4 linked regions of the Tamandua tetradactyla genome follow. The protein of the gene in region 1 purifies or fractionates together with the protein of each later gene. This does not show direct contact. Links are inferred from orthologs where the notes say so. Each region holds a gene or a part of one and is shown in the gene's direction. Other genes may lie near its edges.

What was found.
Region 2: the proteins of FOXJ1 (region 1) and RFX3 purify together in Homo sapiens (affinity purification with mass spectrometry; 3 studies listed by BioGRID and IntAct, counting the BioPlex papers as one, with this or other methods). This does not show direct contact. The link is inferred for Tamandua tetradactyla from reciprocal best matches to the Homo sapiens genes FOXJ1 and RFX3.
Region 3: the proteins of FOXJ1 (region 1) and FBXO11 purify together in Homo sapiens (affinity purification with mass spectrometry; 3 studies listed by BioGRID and IntAct, counting the BioPlex papers as one, with this or other methods). This does not show direct contact. The link is inferred for Tamandua tetradactyla from reciprocal best matches to the Homo sapiens genes FOXJ1 and FBXO11.
Region 4: the proteins of FOXJ1 (region 1) and TBC1D32 purify together in Homo sapiens (affinity purification with mass spectrometry; 3 studies listed by BioGRID and IntAct, counting the BioPlex papers as one, with this or other methods). This does not show direct contact. The link is inferred for Tamandua tetradactyla from reciprocal best matches to the Homo sapiens genes FOXJ1 and TBC1D32.

What each region holds. Positions count from the first base shown.
Region 1 is NC_135332.1:16,567,291-16,574,990, reverse strand, and holds the start of FOXJ1 (forkhead box protein J1), read left to right. Parts: upstream 1-4,410; 5' UTR 4,411-4,843; intron 4,844-5,397; 5' UTR 5,398-5,569; coding exon 5,570-6,067; intron 6,068-7,693; coding exon 7,694-7,700. Other genes in the region: E3 ubiquitin ligase RNF157, read left to right, coding at 662-783. UniProt on the Homo sapiens protein: Transcription factor specifically required for the formation of motile cilia. Acts by activating transcription of genes that mediate assembly of motile cilia, such as CFAP157.
Region 2 is NC_135328.1:94,620,853-94,629,174, forward strand, and holds the start of RFX3 (transcription factor RFX3), read left to right. Parts: upstream 1-5,266; 5' UTR 5,267-6,010; coding exon 6,011-6,077; intron 6,078-8,322. UniProt on the Homo sapiens protein: Transcription factor required for ciliogenesis and islet cell differentiation during endocrine pancreas development. Essential for the differentiation of nodal monocilia and left-right asymmetry specification during embryogenesis.
Region 3 is NC_135343.1:19,990,755-19,998,879, reverse strand, and holds the start of FBXO11 (F-box only protein 11), read left to right. Parts: upstream 1-5,127; 5' UTR 5,128-5,161; intron 5,162-5,222; coding exon of another isoform or gene 5,223-5,425; intron 5,426-8,125. Other genes in the region: uncharacterized protein LOC143661103, read right to left, coding at 1,601-1,654, 3,343-3,365, 3,663-3,748, 4,173-4,247, 4,863-5,127, 5,223-5,425. UniProt on the Homo sapiens protein: Substrate recognition component of a SCF (SKP1-CUL1-F-box protein) E3 ubiquitin-protein ligase complex which mediates the ubiquitination and subsequent proteasomal degradation of target proteins, such as DTL/CDT2, BCL6, SNAI1 and PRDM1/BLIMP1.
Region 4 is NC_135331.1:182,393,943-182,401,676, reverse strand, and holds the start of TBC1D32 (protein broad-minded), read left to right. Parts: upstream 1-4,353; 5' UTR 4,354-4,496; intron 4,497-4,668; 5' UTR 4,669-4,671; coding exon 4,672-4,826; intron 4,827-6,611; coding exon of another isoform or gene 6,612-6,647; intron 6,648-7,734.

The sequences.
Region 1 (7,700 bases):
CGCAGGAGTAGCCATGGATTTGGGAGATGATGATGAGTTTGGTGGGTGTGGTAGCTGTGGGACCCCAAAATTGTTGGGTTATTGTCTCCTAGGGTTGATGGCACCATCTGATGGCAAACCGCATCCACTGTCCTCCCGCAGGATGTCTGCTGTTCTGTCCCTGGCACCCTGTCGGGTAGTCAGTCACTTCCTGCCCCACCCCCGCTCCCCTTGCAAACACAGACACTTGGGGCCCACGTCAGCGTAAGGCCTGTCACTCCTTCTGTTTCCTGCCCGTGATGAAAATTTCACCTAGACCCAGCTTCTTTTTCCTGGTCCACCACAACATATAGACAAGCTCCAAAAGCAAATAATTAAGATAGAAGAGGAGATACTAGGGTACATTCACAAAAGAAAGGACATTCTAAGTGTCCTTCTCTGTCAGTGGACCAAGTGGCAGTAGCTCTACCTAGCCTGATGAGGCAGGAACAGCTCCCTGCACCTTTCGACACCCACTTCCCCCGATTCTTTCTCTCATACACTGTGGCTTGCACCTTCATAAGAGCTTCAGATAACACACCTCCTGCTAGCTTCTGTGCTGAACTTCTGAGCTGCCTTGCTGGAGACACCCTCCAACCTGGCCAAACATCCTGCTCCTATAACTTCAGTTTCTCGTCCCCAGGTACCTGGCAGGCTGATGACAATGCAGTCAATCGTAGGAGCACCCAGCGCCGGCGCCTGTCATCCAGCAGCCTGGAGGACCCTGAGAACCAAGGCTGTGTGTGGGGTCCTTTGGCTGTCTGAGGACCCCCAGCCCCTGTGCCAGGGCTCTCCTCCTGTCCTCACATTCCATCCTGTCCTCGCTGGACCACCAGCCTCTGGCCATCTTCATCAGGACACGTGGAGGCTTTATACTCATGTGAGAGCTGGATGTGGGTCACCCTGCTCCTTCTCCCAGCCACGTCTTCTGTAACCATGTTCCTTCCCCTCGGAAGAGACCAAAAGTGCTCTTTTCTCCTTGTGGGCTGAAGCCACTCTAACTGCGGCTCTTAACCGAGACTGTGGATGTCTCCCCCAACGTTGATCTTCAAGTGGAGCCAAGATCCACGTGCTGGTTGTTTCTTATGGATCTTTTTTCTGCTAGGGGTAGGCCAAACAGACTCAGTTTTGGTGGCTTCATTGCAAACACCCATCTGGCATTTTCTGGCCTGTGAACCATCTAACCAATTTGAAAACTCTGGGGGAAGGGGTAGAGGACAACTCCAGTGAGAAAGAAGCAGTGCACTATAGTGAAATTCCCTCAGAAAGGGTTAGGAACCCCCTTTGAACATCCAGGCTTCAGGGGTGGCAACCTAAAGGTTTCTTCCTTCTGGTAGTAGAGCTAGTCTCCTTTTGCCCGTATACCTGTCTGCTTAGGAAGGAGACCTTGAATCTGAGAATCCCCCAGTTAAGATAATAACCTTTAAAAAGGATTTCTTAACAGGTGCATTCGTGAAAGCCTGGAACTCCTTCTGATGGTTACACTTCAAGAAAGATTTTTTGACCACTTTTCTGTGCCAGGCACTGGGTTAGAAGCTTTTGTATATTAGCACATTACATCTCACCATAGTCCTGTAAGGTGAGATTCTTATCCCCTTTGCCCCTGTCTCCTTCCTTTTTTGGTCAATAATTGTAGAAGTAAACTTAAGAGGTAGGGCCCAGTAGTCTCCAGTTGGTGCCCAGGAGCCCCAAAGAACTCATGGAGAGTGCTGAGCTAAATCCGGGTACCAGCCGGCCCAGCAAGGATCCCTCTGGCTGGAACCAGGGCCTTTGCCTCCAGGATCCTCCTCTCCTTTGTGTTTTCCTTCCCTGCCTCCCAGACCCTCAGAGCAGAAAGTGGGAGAGGTACAGTCCCCCTGGCTTAAGCAGAGCCATCCACAGGCTCATCATTTCAGAGATTTGGAGAATGTTGTTTAAATCATGTCCTCCCACCCTAGTGTAACTGCATACAAACAACAACTTGAAACAGCAAGGCCAGGCTAAGCCTTCAGGTGGCACTTCTTTTCTCAACACCAGTATTATCAAAAGATTCCACCTGGCTCTTGGATAGGTGCTTTGTCTGCAGGCTGATGGAAAAGGTGATTGTTCAGTGGAGTGTGAGATAGTTTGAGAAGCAAAATTAGACAATTATTTGTGAGGTTGAGATGAGGTAGAGCCCTTGGCTACACCCGCTGCGAGGGACCTTCTTAAAGTGTTTGGTTTTGTTGCCCTAGCAGACCTTTCCATGTCCAGTGCGCAGGGGTCCTTTGCGCCCATGTGGCCACACAGTGCAGGAGGAAGGTAGTGGTGGGCTACGTTGTGCCCTGAGGAAGGGTGGCCCACTATGCTGGTTGAGACCCTCACAGCCACATCTGAACCTAAGCTTCTGTCTTGAGTTCCCACGTCCACCCTCTCTGACATACCTCAGTGGATTCTTCCCCCTTAAGTTTCATAGTCACTTTCCTATTTAAGACTTAAACCAGTATATGTTGAGCAATAACCCCATTTCCTGGTTTCCTTGAAGTTTGAGCTGGAGGCACTTGCACACAGACCCACCTCCTGTCCCCACAGGTGGTTTTCACAGCGTGGTGTTACCGGGGAGGATCCCTGGGGAAGAGGCTGAAATGAAGGAGATTCAGGTAAACAGTAGCCACTGAGGCCAGGAACCTAAGAGGAGGTAATTACCTTCACCCTTTCCTTGAAGATCTGTGACCTTCCTTGCAGGATGTGCTCCTCAGTGTTTCCCTGGACAAGGCTCAGAAAGCCTCCTGAAGGAATCCCAGGGGGTTCCTGGCCTTGGCTCCCTCCTTAGCCCTTGGTAACTAGATGGAAGTGTCTGGGTTAGAAATGGCCCATTATTCCTTTTTTCTCAGATAGGCCCTGTTTTCTCTTTTTTCTTTTTTACCTCTTTGGATAAGTGGAAACATCCCATCCAGAAAGTCTGGTCTTGTCCACCTGATCAGGGCACAGGTCAGCTGCTAGCCCCATTGCCCCAGTCTGTCATTCGAAGGAAGCAGTCTTATTTTGTAAGCATTTTACGGAGAGAGAATGGGGTGGCCTGGCTCCTCATCGAGGGCACAGATGCTGGGGCCAGCACCTCCTTCCTGCCACACTCAGATCTAAGCTCTTGTCTTGGCCTTGGAGAGCTGCAGTAGGCCTGGCTTCCTCCCAGAACCATTCTCCGTCTCCCCCCACCCCCCACTCCTTCACTGTTCATCCCACCAGACTTTATGCCCGTGCTGGGAGCATATTCTGAGCACAGACCCCACACTGTAAGCTGTGACACCATGGGGAGCCCTGAGAGCCTGTCCCCCTGAATTTGGCATGCTGGTTGCTCATTTTGCTTTAGGACCTGTATACCTGGTGTGTGCAAGTGTGTGTGTCCTGTTGGTGCTGTTTGTGTACCCCCCTTCCTCCCTGGAGTACACACACAGCACACTACAGTGGGGACACCAAGGATGCAATATTTATGGATTGCTGCATGATTCTTAAAAATGAATAAAACTGTTTACAAGGGAAGGAGAGCTGTACCTAAGAAGCTGGCTTATTTATGAAAGTTATTGTCCATCTTTCTCCAGCACATTTCAACATTTTTGAGGTGGAAGAATGGGAAGGGCCAGGGGTAGGAAAGGACATGTCCTGGGTGGGAGTTAAGAGGTCATCCCTGGGTTTCTGCCTGGCTTCTGGGCAGCGTCTCAACACCCCACCCCATCCAGCCCTGCTGCTGCTGCCCGTTTAATCCGAGACCTTCCAACAGTGCTGCTCCTCCATAATTAAAAAGCAGGAAAGTGGTGACAGGAGGGAGCCTGGGGAGCGGGAGGGCCACAGCTGCCAGGGCGCTTCTAGTCTTAGTCCCTATCAGGTAAAGCTTAGTGGGATTATAGAAGGCAAATGGTTCTGCTAGGAGAATTTGGCAGGTTCCTGGCTCTTCTAAGTTTTGCCCATGGGCTTTGCTTCCTGTTATCTGGGAATAGGAGAGATCGCCACCTCAGAAGCCTCTGGAATGTCAGCTTGCTGGACCTCTCTAAGGCTAGGAGCCGGAAGAGAGCCCGGCCCCGGAGGGGAAGGACGGCTTACCGGGAGACACTGGACTGCCCTACCCGCCTTGGTGTGTCTGCAGTCGGTGTGGCGTTTCTGCGGGTACCAGCGGCAGGTGGCATCGGAGAGTAAGACCTGCTCGCCGGGCACCAGAGACGATACTCGGGATCGGGAGAGGAAAGGGCGGCAGAAATGAGCTGCCATTCGCAGCCCAGAGCAAAAGCGGGAAACCCCAAGGATACGGTTCACAAACTGGAGCCCGAGGATCGGTCCCCAGAACCGTCGATGCTTCGGAGGGGCCAAAAAAGGAAGGGGCGGGGCGGGAGTCGCGGTTCCTTGGGATGCACAGATCGAAGGTGGTTCTCGGGTCCTTGGGCGGGAGCGCGGAGTCGCGTGCTCCTCGGAGCCCAGCGCGGGGCCCTCGCGCGGGAAAGCGAGAGCGGGGACGCGTTGGCGGGTAGGGGGCTGGATGGCGCGGGAGTCAGCGGCCGAAGGAGGGAGTTCGCGGAGAGTTACGGCTGGAGAGCGCGGCCAGAGCTCGCGGTCTCCTTGGAGACGGACTGACCAATGGCAGCCGCAGAAGCTGTTTATGGGGGCGGAGTGTTGTCATGGCAGCAGAAGAAGCCTTTTCCAGCGGCTACTTAATGCCAGTCTCCCCGCCGCCGGCACTCAGAGAGACGCCGTCGGGCGGGATAGGGGGGGCGAAGAGGGGAGCTGGCGGCGCCCTCGATCTGGGGGCAGAGAGCCGCGGGGGCTGGGAGGAACTTTTCCAGAACCTTCCTTTGGCCTGGGCTGCGCTCTGAGCCAGGTAAGGACAGGGAGGGCTGCGGGCCATGGAAGGGAGGACGTCAGTACTAAACCCTCTTTCCCATCCGTCCCCGACGGAAGTGGTGGGCCCAGGGGTTGACATCTGAGCAGTTTAGAGTAACTTACTTCCCGCTTCCATTCCATAACTCTGTTATGTCCCCTTCCTTCCTCGTGTTCTCCTATCTTAATATCCCTTTTCAAGGATCAGATGGCCTCCGCTGCCCTCCGTCCCATCGTACTGCCCTCCCGGACTCCCTTGCCCCATTGCTATTTGTTAAGGGGCGGGGGGAGGGATCCTGGTTCCCGCTCTTCGGGAAAAAGGGAGTACACTCGGATGCCCCTGCCCTCTTCTCCCTAGAACCTCGAGGAGGAAAGGAAGAGAGAAGTAGACCCTGTGAGGGTCGGACCCGAGGGTACTGCCTCTGTCTCTCACGCCTTGGCACTGAAAGATCCTCCCCAACTTCGGGGACGATTTTAGCCGAGGCCTCCTTTACCCACACCCTGTCCCCTCGGGGGTGGGGTAAGAGTGCTCAGTTCCCGCTGTGGTCTCTGCAGGCGACCACATACTTATTCGGAGGAGGCGACCCCCGGGTCGCGGGATGGAAGCGCGCATCCGGGCGGCTGTGTAACCGGAGCCGCGGGAGTCGGCCGGCCAGAGAGCGCGCGGCGAGTCACCCTCGGCTCAGCCCTTGGATGGTACACGACCCCTCGGAGAGTCTCGGCAGACATGGCGGAGAGCTGGCTGCGTCTCTCCGGAGCGGGGGCGGCGGAGGAGGCCGGGCCGGAGGGCGGCCTGGAGGAGCCTGACGCCCTGGATGACAGCCTGACCAGCCTGCAGTGGCTGCAGGAATTCTCTATTCTCAACGCCAAGGCCCCGGCCCTGCCCCCGGGGGGCACCGACCCCCACGGCTACCACCAGGTGCCAGGCTCGGCCGCGCCCGGGTCCCCGCTGGCGGCCGACCCCGCCTGCCTGGGGCAGTCGCACACACCCGGCAAACCCACGTCGTCGTGCACGTCGCGGAGCGCGCCCCCGGGGCTGCAGGGCCCGCCCCCCGACGACGTGGACTACGCCACCAACCCGCACGTGAAGCCGCCTTACTCGTACGCCACGCTCATCTGCATGGCCATGCAAGCCAGCAAGGCCACCAAGATCACGCTCTCGGCCATCTACAAGTGGATCACCGACAACTTCTGCTACTTCCGCCACGCCGATCCCACCTGGCAGGTACGGGGGCGCGGGCGGCGGCCGCCCCTTCCCCAATCCCAGCTCCGCAGGCCAAGTAGGCGCGGCGCAGCCAGGGCCCGAGAAGGGAGGAGGCCGTCGAGCAAGGGCCTTCGAGGAACCCAGTTCTTGGAACTGCCCATCTTTGGCTCCCAGAGAGGGAGGAGGGAGAATGTTCTAGGAGTGCAGACGTTGAGGTTCGAGGGGAAGGAGCTTGTCCTTCATCCAGCAGGCCCAGTTCGCTGGCCAGGACTAGACTATGCAAGGGTTAGAGTCTCCTGGTGGAGGGCGATGAACTGCGGACACATTCTTGTCCGGAGTCCCAGAATTCCTAGACACGGCCCTTCTCAGGGGCAGTCCATCAGGGCCGGACTCAGAAGCGGAAACGCGAGCGGCCCCCCGCCAGGCTTATCCGTCTTTTGCAATTGGCTGGGGGAGGGGAGTGCTGTGGGGTGTGAAGACCAGCTGTGTCCTCCTAGAGGAGATGGGGCCCAACTGAAGCTGCTGTGCCAGTCCCCTGCCCCACCCCCTCACCGGTTTCCTGCCTGCACTCCTCCCCCACTTCTCAGCCAGCCTCCCCGGGGGGACAATTACCTGAACCAGGTGCTTTCCACAGGGGCTCTGCCTCCCTCACTGGCTTCTCGTTCCAAGTCTCCGGGACCTGGCACAGAGCAGCCAAGGGGCCTAGGCCACCAAGTAAACATCCCGGCCTGGCAGGGGGGCCCTCGCCAGCCACCCACCTTGCTGGCCCGGCCCCACACCCCCATCTGGACAAGACTAAGCACTGAAAATGAACAAAGCAGGATGAGGGCTTCCGGACCCGCAGACATGGTCCTGCGAGGCTCAGACCCTTGGGAGCCCCCAGTCTGGCAGGGTCTCTTCCCTGGAGCACCCAAAGGGGCTGGCTGCAGGATCACAGTCTCAAGCCATTCCCCATCCACCTGGGCCTGACCACCAGGCCCTGACCCTGGGACTGTGGCCCTTTGTAGCCTCAGAGAAAAAGCTGAGACCCGGCCCCCACCTGGCCCCAGGAACAAGCACTGTGCCCCTGGCCGGGTAATGGTCAGCGGGGGCCTCAGAGCCCAGGGTGGGAGGCTGGGACCGTGGGGAGCCATGGCCCAGGCCAGCAGTGGCTAACAAACAGGGAGAGTCACCAGAGCACCCCCCGCCCCCTTCAACCTCTCTCTCTCTATCACACACACAGTCGCCTGCTCACTTCACAGAGAGAACCAGCCAGGCCCAGGCCCAGGGAGCTGGCAGTCCAGGCCCTGGGGGAGCCGAGGGCTTTGGCCAGAGGCCGGAGTGGGGGGGGAGGGCAGGCGTGGGGGTGGCATGAGAGGCACCCTGCGGCTCCGGGCTCGGATGACTGAGCAGGCAGATATCCCAGCAACAGGGAACAAAAGCCCCCGACAGCACCGGCCCCCAGGACCCTGTGGCTGGTGTCCCAGAGCCGCCCAGTCAAACCAGCACATCCCTCTTCCCCCACCACCACTGCAGGGAGTGTGTGAGTGTGTGTGTGCGTGTGTGCGCACGTGTGTGTGCAGGCGCAGCGCGGGCCACCCCGTCGCCAGCCCTTCCCACTGACCCAGTGCTCGCTCTCTTTGTCTCTCGCTCTCTCCCTGTGCCCAGAATTCGA
Region 2 (8,322 bases), on another chromosome or scaffold:
CTTCTGGATACTAGACCTTTATCTGATATGTCGTTTCCAAATATTGTCTCCCATTGTGTAGGCTGTCTTTCTACTTTCTTGATGAAGTTCTTTGATGCACAAAAGTGTTTAATTTTGAGGAGATCCCATTTATTTATTTCTTTCTTCAGTGCTCTTGCTTTAGGTTTAAGGTCCATAAAACCACCTCCAATTGTAAGTTTCATAAGATATCTCCCAACATTTTCCTCTAACTGTTTTATGGTCTTAGACCTAATGTTTAGATCTTTGATCCATTTTGAGTTAACTTTTGTATAGAGTGTGAGATACGGGTCCTCTTTCATTCTTTTGCATATGGATATCCAGTTCTCTAGGCACCATTTATTGAAGAGACTGTTCTGTCCCAGGTGAGTTGGCTTGGCTGCCTTATCAAAGATCAAATGTCCATAGATGAGAGGGTCTATATCTGAGCACTCTATTCGATTCCATTGGTCGATATATCTATCTTTATGCCAATACCATGCTGTTTTGACCACTGTGGCTTCATAATATGCCTTAAAGTCCGGCAGCGCGAGACCTCCAGCTCCGTTTTTTTTCCTCAAGATACTTTTATCAATTCGGGGCACCCCGCCCTTCCAGATAAATTGCTTATTGGTTTTTCTATTTCTGAAAAATAAGTTGTTGGGATTTTGATTGGTATTGCATTGAATCTGTAGATCAATTTAGGTAGGATTGACATCTTAACTATATTTAGTCTTCCAATCCATGAACACGGTATGCCCTTCCATCTATTTAGGTCTTCTGTGATTTCTTTTAGCAGTTTTTTGTAGTTTTCTTTGTATAGGTCTTTTGTCTCTTTAGTTAAATTTATTCCTAAGTACTTTATTCTTTTAGTTGCAATTGTAAATGGAATTTGTTTCTTGATTTCCCCCTCAGCTTGTTCATTGCTAGTGTATAGAAACGCTACAGATTTTTGAATGTTGATCTTGTAACCTGCTACTTTGCTGTACACATTTATTAGCTCTAGTAGTTTTGTTGTGGATTTTTGCGGGTTTTCGACGTATAGTATCATATCGTCTGCAAACAGTGATAGTTTTACTTCTTCCTTTCCAATTTTGATGCCTTGTATTTCCTTTTCTTGTCTAATTGCTCTGGCTAGAACCTCCAACACTATGTTGAATAATAGTGGTGATAATGGACATCCTTGTCTTGTTCCTGATCTTAGGGGGAAAGTTTTCAATTTTTCCCCATTGAGGATGATATTAGCTGTGGGTTTTTCATATATTCCCTCTATCATTTTAAGGAAGTTCCCTTGTATTCCTATCTTTTGAAGTGTTTTCAACAGGAAAGGATGTTGAATCTTGTCAAATGCCTTCTCTGTATCAATTGAGATGATCATGTGATTTTTCTGCTTTGATTTGTTGATGTGGTGTATTACATTAATTGATTTTCTTATGTTGAACCATCCTTGCATGCCTGGGATGAATCCTACTTGGTCATGATGTATAATTCTTTTAATGTGTTGTTGGATACGATTTGCTAGAATTTTATTGAGGATTTTTGCATCTATATTCATTAGAAAGATTGGGCTGTCGTTTTCTTTTTTTGTAATATCTTTGCCTGGTTTTGGTATGAGATTGATGTTGGCTTCGTAAAATGAATTAGGTAGTTTTCCCTCCACTTCGATTTTTTTGAAGAGTTTGAGGAGAGTTGGTACTAATTCTTTCTGGAATGTTTGATAGAATTCACATGTGAAGCCGTCTGGTCCTGGACTTTTCTTTTTAGGGAGCTTTTGAATGACTAATTCAATTTCTTTACTTGTGATTGGTTTGTTGAGGTCATCTATTTCTTCTTGAGTCAAAGTTGGTTGTTCATGTCTTTCCAGGAACCCGTCCATTTCCTCTAAATTGTTGTATTTATTAGCGTAAAGTTGTTCATAGTATCCTGTTATTACCTCCTTTATTTCTGTGAGGTCAGTAGTTATGTCTCCTCTTCCATTTCTGATCTTATTTATTTGCATCCTCTCTCTTCTTCTTTTTGTCAATCTTGCTAAGGGCCCATCAATCTTATTGATTTTCTCATAGAACCAACTTCTGGTGTTATTGATTTTCTCTATTGTTTTCATGTTTTCAATTTCTTTTATTTCTGCTCTAATCTTTGTTATTTCTTTCCTTTTGCTTGCTTTGGGATTAGTTTGCTGTTCTTTCTCCAGTTCTTCCAAGTGGACTGTTAATTCCTGCATTTTTGCCTTTTCTTCTTTTCTAATATAGGCATTTAGGGCAATAAATTTCCCTCTTAGCACTGCCTTTGCTGCGTCCCATTGGTTTTGATATGTTGTGTTTTCATTTTCATTCGCCTCGAGATATTTACTAATTTCTCTTGTAATTTCTTCCTTGACCCACTCGTTGTTTAAGAGTGTGTTGTTGAGCCTCCACGTATTTGTGGATTTTCTGGCACTCTGCCTATTATTGATTTCCAACTTCATTCCTTTATGATCCGAGAAAGTGTTGTGTGGGATTTCAATCTTTTTAAATTTGTTGAGACTTGCATATGGTCTATCTTTGAGAATGATCCATGAGCACTTGAGAAAAAGGTGTATCCTGCTGTTGTGGGATGTAATGTCCTATAAATGTCTGTTAAGTCTAGCTCATTTATTGTAATATTCAAATTCTCAGTTTCTTTATTGATCCTCTGTCTAGATGTTCTGTCCATTGATGAGAGTGGTGAATTGAAGTTTCCAACTATTATGGTAGATGTGTCTATTTCCCTTTTCAGTGATTGCAGTGTATTCCTCACGTATTTTGGGGCATTCTGGTTCGGTGCATAAATATTTATGATTGTTATGTCTTCTTGTTGAATTGTTCCTTTTATTAGTAGATAGTATCCTTCTTTGTCTCTTTTAACTGTTTTACATTTGAAGTCTAATTTGTTGGATATTAGTGTAGCCACTCCTGCTCTTTTCTGGTTGTTATTTGCATGAAATATCTTTTCCCAACCTTTCACTTTCAACCTGTGTTTATCTTTGGGTCTAAGATGTGTTTTCTGTAGACAGCATATAGAAGGATCCTGTTTTTTAATCCATTCTGCCAGTCTATGTCTTTTGATTGGGGAATTCAGTCCATTAACATTTAGTGTTATTACTGTTTGGGTAATACTTTCCTCTACCATTTTGCCTTTTGTATTATATCTATCATACCTATTTTTCCTTCTTTCTACACTCTTCTCCATACCTCTCTCTTCTTTCTTTTGTATCTGACTTTAGTGCTCCCTTTAGTATTTCTTGCAGAGCTGGTCTCTTGGTCACAAATTCTCTCAGTGACTTTTTGTCTGAAAATGTTTTAATTTCTCCCTCATTTTTGAAGGACAATTTTGCTGGATATAGAAGTCTTGGTTGGCAGTTTTTCTCTTTTAGTAATTTAAATATATCATCCCACTGTCTTCTAGCTCCCATGGTTTCTGCTGAGAAATCTACACATAGTCTTATTGGGTTTCCCTTGTATGTGATGGATTGTTTTTCTCTTGCTGCTTTCAAGATCCTCTCTTTCTCTTTGACCTCTGACATTCTAACTAGTAAGTGTCTTGGAGAACGCCTATTTGGGTCTATTCTCTTTGGGGTGCGCTGCACTTTTTGGATCTGTAATTTTAGTTCTTTCATAAGAGTTGGGAAATTTTCAGTGATAATTTCTTCCATTAGTTTTTCTCCTCCTTTTCCCTTCTCTTCTCCTTCTGGGACACCCACAACACGTATATTTGTGCAGATCATATTGTCCTTGAATTCCCTGATACCCTGTTCAAATTTTTCCATTCTTTTCCCTATAGTTTCTGTTTCTTTTTGGAATTCAGATGTTCCATCCTCCAAATCACTAATTCTATCTTCTGTCTCTTTAAATCTATCATTGTAGGTATCCATTGTTTTTTCCATCTTTTCTACTTTATCCTTCACTTCCATAAGCTCTGTGATTTGTTTTTTCAGTTTTTCTATTTCTTCTTTTTGTTCAGCACATGTCTTCTTCATGTCCTCCTTCAATTTATCGATTTCGTTTTTGAAGAGGTTTTCCATTTCTGTTCGTATATTCAGAATTAGTTGTCTCAGCTCCTGTATCTCATTTGAGCTATTGGTTTGTTCCTTTGACTGGGCCATATCTTCAATTTTCCTGGTGTGATTTGTTATTTTTTGCTGGCGTCTGGGCATTTAATCAGATTTCCCTGAGTGTCGGACCCAGCTGGTTGAAAGACTTTCCTGTGAAGTCTCTGGGCTCTGTTTTTCTTATCCTGCCCAGTACGTGGTGCTTGTCTGTCTGCTGGTCCCACCAGCAAAAGATGTTGTGGCTCCTTTAACTTTGGAAGACTCTCGCTGCTGGGTGTGTGGTGGAGACAGAGGAAAGGGTGTAGGTTGGTTTTAATCCTTCAAATTGTGAAGTCCTGGGATCTGAATTCCTTGAGAGAGGGATTCCACCTGAGTTGCGTTTCACCCCTCCCGCGGGGAAGGTTCAGGTGGCAGAGAGCCCTAAAAACAGCCTGTTTCTGTGTTTGCGGCAGTTGTAACCTATGTAATCCCAGCGTTGAGCCCAGAGGCAATGAAGCCTCCATAGAAACAGCCGCAGAAGTCTCTGTTTCGCCCCCTTTCCTCTTTTTCAGTTAGCCCAATCGGCGACTTCCACCTTGATCAGTTTCGCCTGAGCTAAGGGCCTATTTTTAGTAGTCAGAAGTTGTTCCTTAATGCCACTATTGGTGTTAGGTTGGGCTAGTCTCTACTACTGTTGGAGACTCTTTCCTTTCCCTCTGGGAAGTCGCCTGTGGAGGGGGTTGCCATCTGCCATGGCTTGGGGAACCGCTATTCCGAGGCTACCAGCTGGCCCGGGAAGCCACGTGTGTGGAAGGGGCTGCAGTCGCTGGCCACCGCGGCTTCGGGGACCGCTGTTCCAAGGCTACCAGCCAGCCCAGGAAGCCGCGCGTGGCGGAGGGTCGCCAGCTGCCGCGGCTTGGGGAACCGCTGTTCCAATGCTCCCAGCCGGCCCGGGAAGCTACGTGTGTGGAAGGGGCTGTGGTCGCCGGAAACCGTGGCTTGTGGGACCGCTGTTCCGAGGCTACCAGCCGCCCCGGGAAGCCACGCGTCGGGGAGGGTTGCCGGCCGCCGTGGCTTGGGGAACCACTGTTCCGATGCTCCCAGCCGGCCCGGGAAGCCGCGTATGTGAAGGGGCTGCGGTCGCCGCGGCTTGGGGAACCCGATCCAAAGCTCCCAGCCGGCCCGGGAAGGAGGGAGGGAGGGGCTCCGGCCGCCAGCTGCCTCGGCCCGGGGAAGCACGCGCCTCTCGGGGACCTCACTGCAGCGGAGTCTCTTAGCCGGTCCAGCCGTTCCGGAATGGGTTACGCTGTGTGTCTGGTCTCTGTTGTGGCTCCGGGAGCTGTTCTGTACTGTTTCTATTTCTTTAGTAGTTGTTCTGGAGGAGGAACTAAGACCCGCGCGCCTTACTAAGCCGCCATCTTCTCCGGAAGTCCCTGCATTTTATACTTCTAAATGCTTCAAATATCTTAGTGTTTATGGTACTATAGAAACTGCAGGAGAACTTCTCCTGAAATCCCTTCCCTACCTTTTTACCCCCACTATCCCAGGTAGGGTTAAAGGATTGCTGCATTTAAAAATAATGAATAGCAAACAGACTTTATTGGAAGCAGTGAGAAAGAACACTAAGGCTCCTGTATTGTGAACATTTCCAGGTAGTACTCAGGTTGGTGTAATGATTCATCTGTATGCTTCTATCTAGCATCCTGATATGGCAGTCAAATAAATGGATGTCACATCATTTCTATAGTTGTTTCATAGATTACAAAAAATTAATTCTGTATTAGAGTAAATTCAAATTAAAGGTAGAAAAACATAGCAGTTGTCCTTAGGAAATTCAGCCAATGACATGGCAGCATGCAGATCAGTGGATATTAACTATTCGGTAGAGCAATTGGCTAGCATATTGCTGATGTCATAATTCCCCTACTCAACAATGGGTTGGTTATGCTGGAAGGTACAACAGTTTGAATGTATGAACTTCTGCTTCCACTACAACAGGACTTTAAAGGAAGGCCTGCCATTGACACATGGAAAGGTAAAAAGAGCAGGGGTTGGGGATGGGATGTTTATTGGAGGGATAGGCCCAGTGTTTGTGAATACACTTAAACTAGTCATCATTCATTAGTCCTTGAGATATATTTGTACCCAAATTGCTTCTCTACCTTTACAGGTAGTTAAAATGCAATAGGGAGTTCCTTAAGGATGATCAAACATTGCTGTTTTATCATTTTTTTAATTAAAATGTGAATCTATGTGATTAAAATTGGTATCATTTTAAGATAATCACATGGTTAACTTTTTGTAAGATAATATAATTTAAAGTGTAAACACTTTTAAGTTCATATATTAGTTTTAGCAGCCACATGGTTTCTGTCAAAGATATGATGATGGTGTTGAATCCATCAGCCTTCACTGGGAGCAAACTGCTCCTTGTTTCAATTTGATGTATTGAGTCTTTCTGTTTAAGTAGCCGTTGTCATTTGGGAAAAGTCGTCAGCTTCTGTGGGAAGATAAAAACACAGTCTTCTGATTAGGAAAGAAGGCTCAAGAGAAATAAATTGGAGCTATACCATCCATTTCAAATCTGTGGTTTTGTAAATGTCCTAAACAGGTGCACCTCAAGTTCCCCTATATATTTTTCAAAATTTTATTATGGATGTATGTTTGTAAGAAAGATAAATAGTTTTGTATTTAAAATCTTTGTGACATGATTTATAACAAATAACTATGCAATTGTGTATAGATGCTATAATAATTACAAATAATGTTTCAAGGGTCCCTACCCTTCTCTTTCAACCATATCACACTCTACTTTGATCATTATACTTACAATATTGTCCCAATATCAGATTGTATTGTACTATCCATTTCTGGATTTTTATAATCAATCCTGTTGAACATTTTATACTCCTCCAACATCATATGCTCAAACTACCCTCTTTCTATCTCTTGATAAAATTTGTTCTCAACTTTAAGTCTTAGAATTTGCTTATTAATGTTCATATTAGTGAGACCATACAGTACAAAAGAGACCATTTGTTCTTTTATTTCTGGCTAATTTGGGTCAACATTATGTCCTCAGGCTTCATCCATGTTGTTGCATTTGTCATGACTTCATTCCATCTTATAGCTGTGCAATATTCCATCATATGTATATACCACACTTTGTTTAGTCGCTAAATAAATCCCTTTTTATATAAAAGCCAGTCGTCTCTGGTGTTCTAGTTTGTTAGCTGCCAGAATGCAATATACCAGAAATGGAGTGGCTTTTAAAAAGGGAATTTAATAAGTTGCTATTTTACAGTTCTAAGGCCAAGAAAATGTCCCAGTCAAAACAAGTCTATATAAATGTCCAATCAAAGCATCCATCTAGGTAAAGATACCTTGGTTCAAGAAGACCAGTGAAGTTCAGGGTTTTTCTCTCAAGTGAGAAGGCACATGGTGAACATAGTCAAGGCTTCTCTCTGTTGTAGGTAGAGCCAATTGCTCTACCAAATAGTTAATATCCAGTGATCTACATGCTACCATGTCATTGGCTGAATTTCCTAAGAACAACTACTATGTTTTTCTATCTTTAATTTGAAGCTGGAAGGGTATATGGTGAACACGGTGTCATCTGCTAGTTTTCTCTCCTGGCTTCCGGTTTCATGAAGCTCCCTGGGAGGCATTTTCCTTCTTCATCTCCAAAGGTCGCTGGCTCATGGGCTCTCTGCTTTGTGGTGCTGCAGCTTTCTCTGCTCTCTCCAAATCTCTCATTCTCCAAAATGTTTCCTCTTTTATAGGACTCCAGTAAACCAATCAAGACCCACCCAAATGGGTGGAGACACATCTCCCCTAATCCAGTATAACAACCACTCTTGATTAGGTTACATCTCAGAGAGATTATCTAATTACATACAGTATTGAATAGGGATTATTCTGCCTCTACGAAATGGGATTTTGATTAAAACCTGGCTTTTCTAGGGTACGTACATCCTTTCAAACCAGCATATCTGGTATGTTGCATTGTGGCAGCTTTGGCAAACTAGAGTACTGCATTTCTTGGATCTGTAATTTTATGTCTTTCCTAAGAGTTGGGAGATTTTCAGTGAATATTTCCTCCATTATTCTTTCTGCCCCTTTTCCCTTCTCTTCTCCTTCCAGGATATCAATAACACATTTGTGCACTTCATGTTGTCATTAATTTCCCTGAGACCCTGCTTATATTTTACCATTCTTTCCCCTGTTTGGTTTTTGTTGTAGGATTTCAGATGTCTTGCCCTCTAGTTCACTAATCCTTT
Region 3 (8,125 bases), on another chromosome or scaffold:
GATCCAGAAACTGAAGCATAGAGAGGTTAAGTAATTTGCCCTAAGTCACACAGCCAGTAAGTGGCAAAGCTCTTTCTTGGTTTTCCACTCTTAAATCTGCCTACATTTGTGTCACCTATCAGTCCTTCCATAATATAAATATACTTCTATTATTTTGGCCTACTCTTCTCACATGCTTAGAGATTGGGTTCTGCTTTTAAAAAGTAAAAATAAAGATTTGCAACTGTTTATCACAGCCCATCCTAAACCTTGAACATAATATTTTTCACAGGGATATGTCTGCACAAGAAGGCTGAGTCTAAAATTCTCTAAAAATAACCTCTATTATGAGTATCACTGGACTGTGTGCTTACCAGGTTTTTCTACATATACATGAAATTTAAATCCTTAGTTCCAAGTTAATTTTAACTACCTGATAAAATATTATCTGAACATGTACTAAAGAGTGAATTTTTGCAGCTTAGTAAGATAAGTCATTCATACTCTAATGGGGATATTTTAAACAGAGCTGGTTATTCCTTCAGGAAAACCATATTCAGATCAAACTCATTTCCTAAATGATATAAAAGGAGTGAGCAGCTTTGAGGTGTCTTATGTAACGGACAGTGCTGATGACTTGGGCCTAGATGAGGGAATGACAGAGGAAGGGGAAGCTGCATCTTTGAAATGACAAAAATTACAGTTTAAAAAAATCACAGTAAATATCACCTGCCAGGTATTAAAATGATTAATGAGCTTATTTTTCCAATCTCCTATTGTGATAGGTTTCATAAACAAATAATTTTAAGTACACTAACCTGTTAAGCACCAGTAATTAGATGAGAAAAACAAACAAATGCTTTTTGAACAGAGAGTAAACCCTAAGGGAATTTAGACCTCTGAAATTATGCTAATTGTATACTGAAATAATTCTGGGAATCTCCTACCCCAAATAAAAAACCCCTTTACATTTTTCTCCTTTCTAGCCCATAAAAATTCTATGACAGCTAATTGCTAGGATTATTTGTTAACACAGGTAGACATGGAGATGGATAAAGTCCCCTGGAAGATTTTGAATTTTAGCTGGAAGAATTAAGAGTCTGTAATAACTATGAATGGAAAGGACACTGGGCTGGCAGGCAGTAACTTTGTTGTGGGATTTGGTTTTGTTACCTCACCTCTTTGGACTTTAGTTTCCCAGTCTGTCAAATACAGAAGAGAGTATGATCTCCAAGACCTGTCCTAACTCCCAAATTCCACAATTCTAAGTTAAGACGGCTTTGAATACTTTTGCACAAAGAAGACTAACATTAATTCCCATGAGATAAACTAAAAATATGTGGAAACTAGCAATACAGGGATAATATTTTTAAATACCTCCCAATAGATTTTCCATTATTGTTAAACTAGTTTCTCTCTTACACCCCATCAGCCAGCACAGTTCCAAGAAAGAGAACAGAATAAATGCCCCCTCAAGAACAAAGAGAATATAGCACATAAGGAAAGTTCCTGACATATAAAAAGGGGAAAAATCTATTTCTTTCTTTTTTTTTTTTTTCAACATGGGCAGGCACTGGGAATCAAACCCGGGTCCTCGGGCATAGCAGGCAAGCACTCTTACCTGCTGAGCCACCGTGGCCCACCCAAAATCTATTTCTTGTAACCCAGGGAGACACTGGAAAGAAGAAAAGGAGACAAGGAAATATCAGACCCAATGTGCTTTTTTTTCCTTCCCCTTCTCAAGATAGAATATAGAAATGGGGATGTGTGGCTAAATATTCAAACAGTCCCAGGGAAATTCAAGAGAATTAGGGATAGTGGTTTTCTTCCCTGAATATACCTATGAAAGACAGAGACCTTTACAAGTTCAGCTTTCAGCCTGAAAGCATGTTCAATATAATGTAGGGAAAACAGTGCAACATTTGTGGGGGGAGATGGCTTACTAGATCTACATGTGTATTTGGGGAATCTAGAAGTTCCCAGGTACATCAGTGAGGAGATAAGAATGGCATCAAGAGGATCAGTAGACTTGCCGAGACTTGGGATCAGAACAAAGATGAAGAAAAGTGTGGGGCAAATGGCTCAGGTTATGGACCTCAACAAAAAAGAACCAACATGGCATCTGGAAAGGACAGAAATGACCTGTTTTACATCTGCAGCAGTCCTATCAGCCCTTACCAGTCATTCCATTTCAGAGAACAACACAAGGACCAGCATGGGTGGCTGGACCACCCTTCTCTGATGCCATGGATTCTCCCCATTCACCAGCCCACTAGCCACTGTGCGAATTAGAAAAATTAGCTCCCTTTCTCAAGATATTTTACTTCCATCTATCAGAAAATTGTAATAAAAAACGGATTTTGTTAGAACAAGGAGTTCTATGTCCATATCCCTGAAAGTTGTCATAGTAAACTTAGAAATCTAGGATACTAAAGATGTGAAAGACCCTCTCTCCGTCTACACATCTTAGGATGAGAGGGAGGTGGGGAAATAAAATCTGAAAGAGCTGAGCATTTATGTAAAAAAAAAAAAAAAGTTGAGATAATGTGGGAGCTGAAGAAGGGTAAAGTTATAGAAAATAAACAAGTTACATTTTCTTTGTACATCTGAACTGTCAGTAAATTTGCTACCATGCCACACCAAATACACTATGCCCAAGATTCTGACTTTTTAAAAAATATTCCCCCAAACACCTTATATAGTAATTCATAAATGGGAGGAACCAATAAGGGCTTGTTGAATAAAAAGTAAATTTTTAGAAAGATTAAAATTATGGACCTACTTATAATCATCATGGTACTGTTGTTTTCCTGTAATTTTACTTTTTGCCCTATGTTTAATTGAAATAAATCTAAAATTTTACCCATTTGCACCTAGGTAACAACCAGAAAAAATTCGAATTCTTTATTTTCTAACAGCCCCCTTGCTCAAATATTTTTTTGAGGATGAAACTAAGACCTAAGTTTCTCCACTCTCTGCACCAAAGACAGAACATCTCAAATTCACAGAATTATTTTTAATTGGAAAAGACTGTATAATCCAAAATAGGATCTTATTTTGGAAAACAAACAACTGATCCCAGAGATGAAGCTGCCTAGAGTTTGTCTACCTCAAACCTAGACAGCAATGGATCAAACTCAGTAAGAAAGAAATCATCGTAAGTTCTGAAAACCAGAGATTCTGGTAACCTGCCAGTTTTTCCATATCCAAAAAATGATAAACAAAAGAGAGGGAAGAATTGAGAGAGTACATTTTCAGTCATCATAACAGCTGAAAAATAAAAACGCGTTTTCCTCGGGGAGATATTATGCTGAAGGGACCAGATACAGATACAACAGATCTGATCATTCCTCTTGGGGTTACCTTTTCCTTTGAGTCTGTGGGATCTAAAAAAAAAAAGAAGAAAAAAAATCATATAATCACAATTTACTCACATATTATTTTTCCGAACATTATATGGATCACCTCCAAAAAAGCAAATCGATCAAAGATGTACTACATATTTACCAAGATCTCTCATAGACTTAGATGAATTCTCTTAGACTACGATTAGAAACCGACTCCAAACTTCGGTTGCCAAACTAACAGCTCGGTAAAGATCAAGGTTTGCAAATACCCTAGGCTTAGAAAAAGGGCACAGAATCTCTAGCGCTCTCTACAGTTCAGACTTTGAACCTACTTACTTGATAAAACCCGAGTTACCGAAGACCGGCTCCCTCGCTCCACTTTTTTTTTTTTTTCCGCTTAAATGATCGGGTGAAAGGGGGGGCTGAAACGACCAACCGAAGAATTAATCACTTCTCCCCATTACATCAGCAACCCCCGCCCTTTCCTCCGAGTTCCTCCTCCCCTAGAATCGTGGCTACGCACTAGCGCTCTCTTCGCCCACCCCCCGCTCTATTATATGCCCTGATACCTCCCCATTATCACCGCCCCGCCACACTCTCCCTTTCCTCCTTCCCCCTCCCCGGCGGGGGAGGGAGGAAACCCGAGAGAGGAAACAGGGCGTTGAAGGAAGGGACTTCGCGATAAGAGCAGAGGGTCCATTGGCCCAAAGGTTGTATGGGCGCCTCCCATTGGCTTCTGGGCCAGAATCCCCGCCCCTCCCCCTCCCCACCCATTCACCCTTCCCCCCGCCGCCCCGCGGCCCTCCCCCGCGCCCCTGGCCAGCCCCGCGGCGGGGAGGGACTGACTGGGCGAGTGGAGGCTCCGGTGGTGTCAATGGCTCCTCCTGCCACGGAGCAGCAGCAGAAGCAGCGGCGACGGGGCTGAGGAGGAGGAGGAGGATAGGTTCCTTTAAGGAGGAGGACCGACGACGCCTCTTTTTCCCCCTATCTCCTCCCTTCACACTCATTTCCCTTTCGCCGAGGAGGGGAGGGGGGCAGGAGAAAGAAGAGGCCGAAGAAAGAGAGGAAAAATTCCTCACAGAAATCTCTTTCAAGGGCTGTGGGGGGGAGGAAGAAGGAAGAAAAAAAATCCGGGCGCCCCCTGCTCCCTCCCTCCCTCCTATCCCTCTCCTCTCCTTCTCCCTTCCTCACCCGCCCGCCCACTCCCCCCACCGCCGGAGACGCCGCTCGGGAGTCGGCGGGACCGGGATCTGTCTCCTCAGCCACGGTCGCCGCGCTTCGCCTCAGGATCCCAAAGCGGGCGGACGCCCTTTCTTTCTCTCTCTCGCTCTGGCCGTCTTTCTGTCTCCGTCCCTCGCGGCCGCCCCGCCCGGCGGCCTCGGCCTTTCCCGTGCGTCAGACCCTCCCGCCCGGCCTCACTCGGGCTCTGTCTTTCTTCCCGGGCCTTTCTCTTGACTCGGGATCTCGCTCGCCCCCTGCGCCCTTTACCATCTCCCCTTCCCCTCGCCCCCTCTCCTTTCCTCCCCCTTTCCCCACCCCCTTCTCCTGCATCGGAGCTCGCCGTGCGTGTGCGTGTGTGTGTCCCTCCGCCAGCGCCGCCACCTCAGCCCGGCAAATGAACTCCGTCCGAGCCGCCAACCGGAGACCCAGGCGAGTGTCGCGGCCGCGCCCGGTGCAACAGCAGCAGCAGCCCCCGCAGCAGCCGCCGCCGCAGCCGCCCCAGCAGCAGCCGCCGCAGCAGCAGCCTCCGCCGCCGCCGCAGCAGCAGCAACCTCCGCCGCCGCCACCGCCGCCTCCGCCGCTGCCTCAGGAGCGGAACAACGCCGGCGAGCGGGGTAAGTCCGCGCCGGCTCGGGTCGGCCTGCCGGTTCGGCCCTGAGTTGTGGGGAGGGAGACCGGGCGGGGGCGGCCTGTGCGCCTCGGGGTGGGAGACGGCGGCTGAGCGGAGGCGGGTCCCCTGGTGCCGCAGTGTCAGCTCTGGCCGGGCCCGGGCCGGCAGGAAAAGCCGCGGCTCCCCTACTCGTCCGGGCTAAGCTCAGGCCGCGCTTTGTTTGGTTTCGGGGGCTCGGCACCCTCCACCCCCACCCGCCTTTTGGCATTTTGGCTCCCTCACGGACCCCGCAGGAGCCTGTTGGTGGCCGAGGGGAAAGCGAAGGGTGGGATTTCCCCCTTTTCTGCCTCCTTCCACCGTTTAGCTTCCCCCTTTCTATAATGGGAGGTGGGGGAAACGACTGGAAGTGATCGGGCGGTGGGGTTGGCTGGGGAACTTGTTTTCCCCCTTTCTCGGTATTAGCCTCCCCCTTCCTGTAGAGGAGGGGGGATCGGAGTGGTCTGTGGTATTGGCCGGGGAACTTGTTTCCCCCGCCTCCCCCCTACTCCCTAGTCACGGGGTAGGGGGAACAGCGACTCCTCTCCCAACCCTACAGTGTTTGCTACGCAGTTCGGCTTTAGTTGCAGAACCCCTGGAAAAGACCCGTTAAATCAAGGTCTTCGAATAAATAAATATAGAATCCATCGGCCATTTCCAGCCCCCTCCCTCTCGTGCGGTGCAATTACCCTTCCGCTCTATCGGCACCCCTCTACTCTGTCCTCCCTTAGCGCCCCTCCACCCCCCACCCACCACGCCACGCCTCGGTGCTGCCTTCCATCTCCTAGTGGGGTTTGAACGTCCCTTCCTTAGAACTGACCCCTTGGGATTCAGTGCGTGTGTGTTGTGTGCAAGGCCTAGTGAAATGTGTCATTTGGACCCAACTGTGCAGCACTGTCTGGTAACCACCATTGTCTAAAGGGCTGAGGCTCCCCGGTGTTGGATTCCAGCTTTAGCAAAAATATTGTTCAGTTCTACTTAGATAACGTGTTGTTTGAGGAGGTTTATGAGATGGGGGTGTTGCCCCTTGGTCTCCAAACCTAACTATTCTCTTTATTAATTTGCTGCTCGCGGTGGGGGGTGGGGATGGGGGTCAGTACCATATTTACGTGTATGGTTGTTGTCTTAAGGAGAATTGTTAGGAGACATTTTGCGTGTTTTACTTGATGGATTAAGGTTAATTTTACATGTGTTGTCACTCTTAAGAGTAGGGGATTGAGATTAAATGCTTTTTTTAAATTATACATTCTTTCCTTAAAAACTATTTCATTGTACTTGATTAAATATTTAACAAATGGAGGAGGTCGATGTTAATCTGGAAAATACTTTAAAGGGTTTTCACTGGTCACTGTTACAGATAGTCCTTGAGAAAGCAGTTTGCTATATGTTGCTTGAAAGAATGTGATGTTTGAAGCCAGTTAGGACTCCTGTGCTACGTAATTGGTAACTATGCTTTGGTGATTCTTTGGTACATTTACAGTTTTTCAGTAAATTTAAAAGGTTTTTAATTTCATCATTTCTTTTTATTTCTGCATATAGCTCCCTTATGTTGCATTCAAATAATGCTCCAGTCTCCTTCCAGAATTGGCTGTATATATATATATATATATGTATATATGCACACACACATATAATATGTTGAGAATATAATATGTTTTAGGAAACAATTATATGAGACTGAAATTACCACTTAATATTAAGGATTCTTTTGCTTTAAGTAAGACTTTTCGAAATGTAGTGATTTGCTAATGACATGAGTGCTGAATCAAAAGATTTTACCTCAAGTAATAATTTAGTCCCATTGTGTGTTTTTAAATGTTTCTTTCAAATCTCTCTTTCACTATTTGTGTGTAATTTCAAATTTAAATGCGGTAATTTTATCTTGGACACTTTTCTTCATTTGTTAAAATTTATTAACTACCAAAGCCTGTTCCCATTTGAGATAAAGTGATAATATGACTTGCTTCTTGGCAGACACGTGCCAAAGTGTCAATTTTCTTTTCATTGATGTCCGTAAACTGATTGACAAACAGATTCATGAATCAAATTTTCAGTATGTAGTTAACTAAATGGCAAATCAAATTCACTGTAGAATTGTTGCTTTGCTGCTGCTAGTAGAAACTGTTTTAGAGACTCTGTTGGCACAGAGGGGAAAAGAACTTGCTGATTAGCCTTCAGGGAAAATAGTATCGGTCTTTTAGAGGACAAATAAATGGTTTCAAAATGAATAAAACATTAAGATGGATTAAAAGACTACAATAATTGATATTTGGTTAGCTTTATGTAAAAATATATCATTCTTTGAAAATTGGCATTTTGATTACATTTTTAAATGTTACAGTTCACATAATGACCAGAACTTAGTCCAGAAGAATAGTCTTTATTTTAGATGTTTTATGGAGCATGCACAGGGTCAACATTTCTGGTTGGAAAGGAGAGGTTGTGGTGATGGTTTAATTTAGTTGTTTTTTGTTTGTTTGTTTGTTTTGTTTTTTAAGTCTGTGCTAGCTTTCATAGTTTTGATAAAGCGATTGAGGAACTACAAATAGTGAACAACTTTTGTTTTTAACTTTTTGCTAACATGATAGATATGTAACTATTGCATTAGACTCTTGAACAGAGTTACATAATAGTGGGAAGATAACTTTCCCATAGGAAATTCAAATGAGATTCACTGGTTAAGCCAATTTAAGTTAGTTCAACCTATATGTGAAATCATTTGTTTTTTTCCTTATAAAGCATGGGCTTTTGGCTTTTTAGCAGTAATATAATAGTTAAAGATGGTGTCTTTTGTTTTTTGTTTTTAAACAAAAATTCTGTCAGAACTGGGTTTTAGCTACTTCCTCACCCATGGGGTTATTAATTGGTATAAAAATTTCCTTGACATCCATCTTAATAAATAAATATTTTTTTTCTCTTTTATGGAATAGTC
Region 4 (7,734 bases), on another chromosome or scaffold:
TGAAGATAGGTTGAATTAGATCATGCACTACAGAAAATTTCAGTCCCAGATCAAATAAACCTTTTTTTCCATTGGTCTCAAAGAGTATGTGTGGTTCCTAAATATAGACACTGTCTTCCTTACCCCTATGTTATGAATTACTTTAACCCCAACCTGTTCGGCTTCATTCTTATCTCTAAATATCAGGTTATATATATAAAACAGCCTCTCAAAATCCCGAAATAATAATCACCACTCCGGATTTCATGTATCTGCTCTAAAAGCTTACAATCTAGGCCCCTGTTTTCTTATAAGCGTTTTCTAAAGGTGAACATACCATTGTTGTTTTTTTGTTTCTGGCTTATTTTGTCTCACCAAATGTTCCATATGTTCATTCACATCATTGCATGCCTCACAACTTTGTTCCTTTTTGTAGCAGTGCAGTCTCTGTTCATAAGTATATACAATTGTTCACCAAACTACTTCTTCATCAGTGCATCCTTCAGACACCTGCATTCATTGGGCATCATGTAGAGGGCCCAAAGTCCACAGTCCATCAACATTCTCAATTTTAGATAATTTCATTGTTCCCAAGAGAAAGAAAACCAATAAACACCACCTCACCAAACAGAAATCTAAACCTCCTCCTAACTCTTGTCCTTCCCCCCATTATTTACCTCTGCTGTTGCTGTGGTAGTGCTGATGGTTTCCTTTTGAACATAGCCCATAGCACGCAACAGCAGTTTTCCCCCTGTACCCTGGACTTAAACACTCTTTACACAAGAATCATATCTTTGAAGTAATTCTTGCGTAAACTAATTCATATTTCTAGTGTGAGTCAGTGGGACACGTAGGTCTGTACAACCCCTTTCAATATTGTTTATCTTCAACATGGTACTATTACTTCTTGACCCACTACAGAATCATCTTTGCTCCCATCTATTCCCTTACATTGGAGTTCAATCTCATTACCTAACAGTTCACCCAGCTCTAGCTGCTATGTATCTCTAAGTTCCCTATATTTTCTATTATAAGCCTCTGATTATATCTTTATGCTGGTCATAAAAGTAAAATCATACAGTTTCTGTCCTTTTGTGTTTGGCTAATTTCACTCAGCATTATGTCCTCAAGGCTTAACCATCCTGTCATGTACTTCATGAGGATGTCATTTTCTCTTACTGCTGCATCGTATGTATGCATATGATCGTATGTATATACCACATTTTGTTGATCCATTCGTCTGTTGATGGGTATTTGGTTTGTTTCTATGTTTTGTCAATTGTGAATAATGCTGCTATGAACTTTGGTGTGCAAATGCTGTTTGTGTCATTGCTTTCAGCTCTTCTGGGTATATACGATATATTTTTATTGTGGTTGATAGTTTGTCATAAATTCCAACTATTTTAAATGTACAATTAAACAGCATTAGTTGCTTTACAATTTGGTGTAAATCACCACTATCCAATATTAAAACTTTTTATCACCCTATGAAGAAACCTGATGTTATATGTGGTGAAGATACATTATACTTTCGCTCCTGGAGGAAACAGCACAGACATCAAAGAAATCATGTGAACAGTCTCAGATGTTGCAAGGCCATGTGAATAAAATAGAAGGCTGGATAGTGGAGAATTCATTATCATGGAATCATTTACCAGTAATTGGGATTGAAGGTTCTGATATACCCCAGGATCTGATCTTAATACTCTGCTGAGACGGCTACTTGTAGCTTGAACATGGCCTTGACCTATAGTGAGGTGTAGATGTTGGAATTTTGTGGCATCATATCAAGGAAGAGGTCAGAAAGCTCAAGGTGGTGGAATACTAGAATGACTATATTATGTGAAACAAGAGAATGCATTTCTTATTTACCTGGGAGGACCTAGAGGTGCATTCCTTGCACCAGGACAATGCATTATTCTCTACTGATTGATCTACTGATGCAACAAATTGTCACCAAATTAGTGGCTTAAAATAACACACATTTATTATCTCATTGTTTCTGTGAGTCAGGAGTCTGGAAATGGCTTAGCCAAGTGACTGGCTCAGAGTCTTACAAAGCAACAATCAAGTTGCTGGCCAGGCTGTGTTCTCATCTGGTGGCACAAATGAGGAAGAATCTACTTCCAAACTCATTCCAGCACAGGCTGTTGGCAGAATTCATTTTTGTCATGCCTGTATGACTAAGGACTCCTGTTATTTACGACTTTGGCTATAGACTGCTCTAAGGGCCAGCAGGAGACTCTCTCTCTCGTCTTCTAAAATGGAATCTTATAACAAAACATAATCCTCATCATAAAATCTAACCTAATTAAGGGAGTAATATCTCATCCCATTTGTTGTATTCAATTGGTTAGGAGCTAGTTAAAGGTTCCACCCTCATTCATACAGAGGTAATTGTGGTAGATTAAATCATGTCCCCTAAAAGGGCATGCTTAAACCCTAAACCCTGGGCCTGTGGTATGAACTCATTTAAGATCCTATTAAGAGGAGGCATCACTGAAATAGGCTGGGCCTTAGTTCCAATATTACTATCAGTCCTTATAAGCAAAGCAAATTTGGAATGGAAGTAGAAGTCACAGAGAAGACTGTAAGAGATTGACTCCAAGTGAGAAGGCAAAGTTCTATTGCCAGAAAACTACCACCAGAACACTATAGACCTTGAAGAAAGCATGACCTATTGATACCCAGATTTTGGACTTCTAAATTTCATAACTGTGAGACAAATTTCTGAAGTTCAAGCCAACTAGTGTATTTGTCATAGCAGCCCTGGGAAACTAAGATAGTGATTGTACAAGGGCCTGGCTCATTAGGGGTCACTTAGAGTGTATCTATCACAGACATTTAGGAATTCAGTAGTAAAAGGGTCACTGGTATCTTTGAAGGTCACTGGCATCTTTGAGAAGCTTGGCTGTGGCTGTCCTCAGTAGGTTTTTTTGACCCTGGGAGACACTGCCATGGAATTGGGCTCTCTAGTACCAATGAGGATGAAGGGATTACTGACAGGCAGAGCCCACATAACATCAGCAGTCAGAGGCAATGTGGCCATAAGTATAGTAATGAGTAGCAAGACTAGAGTGGTAATTAGGGCTCCTGACTTACATCAATCTGTGGCAATGGCTGAAAGATCACGACGTTCCCAGGAGCAGTACAGGTGGAAAGCAGCCTAGAGTGTTGGTGACCTTATGAAGGATTTTCAAAAACCAACAAAAGAAGAGGAAAGCACTGGAATTCGTTCCCAGGTGGTTTGTCACGGCATGTTCCTGCTAGTTACACTAGTGAGTGGCTACCAGTCACCTGTGCTGACTTAGCCATTAAGCACAGTATTGCAGCCCATCATAGTTTCATTGGCTTATGATAATGCTAAAATTTTTTTAATCAGAAGAAAAATATGAATGTCACCTATATATGGTAATGAATCCAACATGGAATATATTTGTTTTTCTACCAATGTAGTTATTAAACACAATTTTTAATGTATCTATGTACTTTTTGTGGATTAAGGAGCTCATGAGGACAAAAGTGCTGAGAGTCTAGGAAGATCATATTGAGGGTCTACTGGTCTCCTTGGGGGAGAGCCCAGGCATATTTACCATCTATATTTGTGGTGATGTTGAAAGGTCCTCAGTAGGAACCTGTCTACCTATCAATCAGTAGGATTTAGATCTGAGAATATAAATCTGGAAACTGAAGAGGCCATGATTATCCCTTGCAACTTTGTGCGAAGTGATATTTATACATTATACATCTTGGTTTCTCTTTGGAGTGCAAATGCGTCCTACTGCTTGTAGGATAAATCTCAGATACTTTAAAGTGCCAAACACAGTTTACTTCTCTAGCTTTCTCACCTCCTCTTTCTAACCCTACTAACTCAAAGCCCTTAGCATGCCACTCTCCAGGCCCCTCTCCTTTGCAAATCCCGTTTGCTCTGTGTGCTTCTTTCCTCTCCTCCTCTATCGGATAAAAAGGTAAGCCTGGATTTCCACAGCACCTACCTCGCACATCTTTTTAGCATGTCACTCAATTACACTGCATTGTAATCCTCATCTCTTTTTGCGTCTGTTAGATCATGAGGGCCTCCTTTTCTTCACATCTCCTAGTAAAGTGTCTTGTTAAAGGATTCTTTGACATAAAGGGAAACAACATTGCAACATTTTATTACCATTCATTATTCATTGCAAGTTTTTCAGGGTGCTTTCAGTTTCACTTTCATTATCTTTCTTTAATAGCCCCCTTTTTCTTTCTACTCTTCTCCAACCCACCCGCCACCCCGAGGTTAGGGACAGAGAGCACAGGTGAGCCCTTACTGTGGGCGAGGGGAACCATCAGGTACTCGGAACCACGTGAACGCGATGACGTCACGCGTAGCGCCGGCCAGCCGCCGTCGCGCCCGCCCATCCTCAGAGCCTTCCTGGATTTCCTTTGCCGTTAGTTCGGGGCGGCCTGAGCTCTGTGGTAGCGGAGGCTGGCAACGACGAGTACCAAAGGCGGGGCCTCGCCGACCCTGTTGCCTTGAAGTAAGTGGCTTGTGTTCCAGAACAACGTGCGGGCTGCCGGGTTCGACCCCTAAGCGCCCGCCGCGGTCTCCCGGGGAACGGCGCTGCGCGCCGGCTGGGTTGGGCATGCGCGTGCGCGGGTCGCGGCCTCGCTGGGAACCCGACTGAGGCGGGGGGCGTTTGATTGCGACAGGTGATGGCCCACTTCTCGCGCGAGGACGAGGCGGCGCTGCGGGCGATGCTCCGGCAGCTGTTCCAGAGCGTGAAGGAGAAAATCACAGGTGCTCCCTCCCTGGAGTGCGCCGAGGAGGTCCTCTTACATCTCGAGGAAACGGATGAAAATTTTCACAAGTAAAATAACTTTTGATGTCTTAAGCAAACTAACCGGCTGACCTCGGAAAGGTCAAAGGATAGCAGATAAAGAATGGTCCCTTGACTATTAAAATAACGCCCACGTTGGAGGTTCATTTTTTTTTCGTTTTGTCTACGCAAACTGAATTTACATGTCATTTCTCTTTACCTACCATCGCTTCTAGTTTCTCTGCATTTACTGCCACCAACGTATCTTAGTTCTCTGATTCTTCTCCCGCGCCCCCTCTCCCCCCCCCGTAACAGCAATCGTAAATTATTCGTTTTCTTTTTAGAACAAGTCTATTATTTCAAGGGAGGACAGTCATCATATCAAAAAGCAGTGAATTCCCAAGATCTCCGTTCCTTTACTGTTCCCATTCCACAATGGGCACGCCAATTATCACCTAAGCACCCTTGCAGTGAGAGGCTCTCTTGCTCTGGAATTGCCAGGTTCCTGGGAACGGTAAGGCACAGACCCAAATGTCTGTGCTACGCGTCGGGAATATAAGGGCCGTAGGAGAGGTTTAGAGTGCTCCGCACTTAGGGAAAGCAAAAGTTTAACCAGGGAGGGGTCATCTGAATATGTTTCTTTAGAGATGTTTTTTCCCCCTTTGATTTGGTTCTTATAATTTAAGCCTCTCAGTTTTAAAATGTCTACTTCCAAGTGCCTTAGTTCATTGTTGTTAGTAGTACTTTAACCCAGTAATTACGTATTATTTTGATCTCTCATATGATATTGAACTTTTATTTGGTTACTTACCTTTGCTGATTCTGTGTACCCTGAAGTTCTATTTATCTGAAATTCCTACCTATTTCATATAGAGGCATTAGGGGATCCTTGAGCCCTTTGGAATTCTGCTCCAAGTTAGTGTTTATGTACAGTTTTATGTGGAGAGCATTTATAGTTTTCATCAGATTCTCAAGGGAGTTTTTAAAAGTTTGGAAGGAATTCTTGTTGATAGGGAGTTTCTTATTTTGCTAATATTTTTGGTTATACATACTGTTCTTTTGTGTTTCTGTGATTTTCTTGTTTATTTCCTTCATAAATCCACTAATAGCTGTTATTGGATGATAGTATTCTTTATTTTGGTGATACCAAAGAACAACTTTTATTGGTTAGCTATTGATTTCTTACTTAAACAGTGAAATGTAGAAAAAATCGCAGCTTTCTCAGAACAGGTTTGGTCATCAATGTTTTATAAACTCAGGTAATGCTGGTTTACCTCACACAAGTCCATATCAAGCATTAAGGTTGGGATTTCATTTCTGGTTTCTATCTCATGTGCAAATAGTTGCTTGAATAATTTTTAAATTACTGAGTCAGTTTTTGGTAGGATCATATTTAAAAGTTTCTCCATTTTCATGCACTTCCCCAAAAACAAATAAACAAAACAAAACAACAAAAACAAAGACAAACACTCAAAAAAATTAAACAAATGATGCTGCAATAACAGGAAACTCACATGGAAAAGTAATGAAATGTGACCCTACCATACAGCATACAAAAAACAAGCAAACAAAAAACCTTATCCATTTTATCTAAATTTTAAAATTCATTTGCATAAAGCTTTTTGTTACTATCCTGTTATTGTTTTAATGTTTCAGTTATTGGTAGTCATGCTTTTTTTTTATCCTTTTTTTTTTTTGTCTTCCCTCTTTTGTTCTTGATCTGCCATATTTATTAATTTTATTAGTGTTTTCAAAGAACTAGCTTTTGGCCTTGTTTTTTCTTTCTAGTATGTATTTATTTTTATCTTACTTATTTTTTATTTTTGTCATGGACAGGCTCTGGGAGTTGAACCCTGGTCTCTGGCATGGCAGGTGAGATCTCCAGCATGGCAGGCGAGATGTGTTTATTTTTTGTTTTGTTTAACTTGGTGATGAATGCTAAGTTCAGTAATTTTCAGGTTTTTTCTTTTTTAATATCAGTGTTTAAGCTACATATTTCCCTATTAGCATTGCTTTGGCTGCATTTCATTAAAAATGGTTTCCCAGTTAAAGTTGAATTGTTGCAGTTGATCTCAGGAATCAGTTGACTCTTGTAATAGTGCAATTTATTCGTCTTAAACAGTTCATTAAATAGATTAAATGCTTGTTGATTAACATGCATAGTTAATGTTTACTGTTTACTAAAAAGATTTACTTGTGCTGAAGAAATCCATACAGACTCCAATGATAGTTTGCAATCTTAAAAGTAAGATTTATAATCCTGTCATTTAGCTCCGGTGCTTGAATTTCCATTTTTCTTTCTTTTCGCTGCCCTAATGCTCCTTGAATTCTTAATATTTTTGATTCACTTAGGTATATGTTTGTTCCCCAAATGCTTCATACTTCAGAATTATCCATCTCTCCATCTCCACTATCAGGACATTGATTCTGTAAATCCACATGATGTCTTAATATTAGGAACAATATAATTTTTTAAAAACAGACATGTAGGGGAAACTGGTGTTTCTACACTGTTGACATTTTTGTAAAAGGATTGTTAAGACAATTAAGTCCATGAATAGTGGAATTTCAGATAGTATAATGAAATAATACGGGGAAAATTCCAGTAATTTGTGGGGAAACCACAGCAAAGGCAGATCAGCCTTATCTGGGGATTTGTCCTGTGGCAGCAGCCCTAACCTATCTTTGCTTTCCATAGTGTCTTCTGTGTTTCCAACTAAAACAGTACATAGTCTTGAAAAGATATAGCAAGGAGTTAAGACCTGTGGGACAGGGGACATGTAGGGAACACATTGCTTTAATTATGTGTGTGTGTTGTGTACATTTTTGCACTCAGACTGGCTCCCAATAAAACAAAGAACTAGTTTTCAACCTTTGCAACATTAGAGTTAGCTGGGGGTCATTTAAAAGAAATACCACAAATTAGTCAATATTACCTGGGGGAATCCGGGTCATGAGA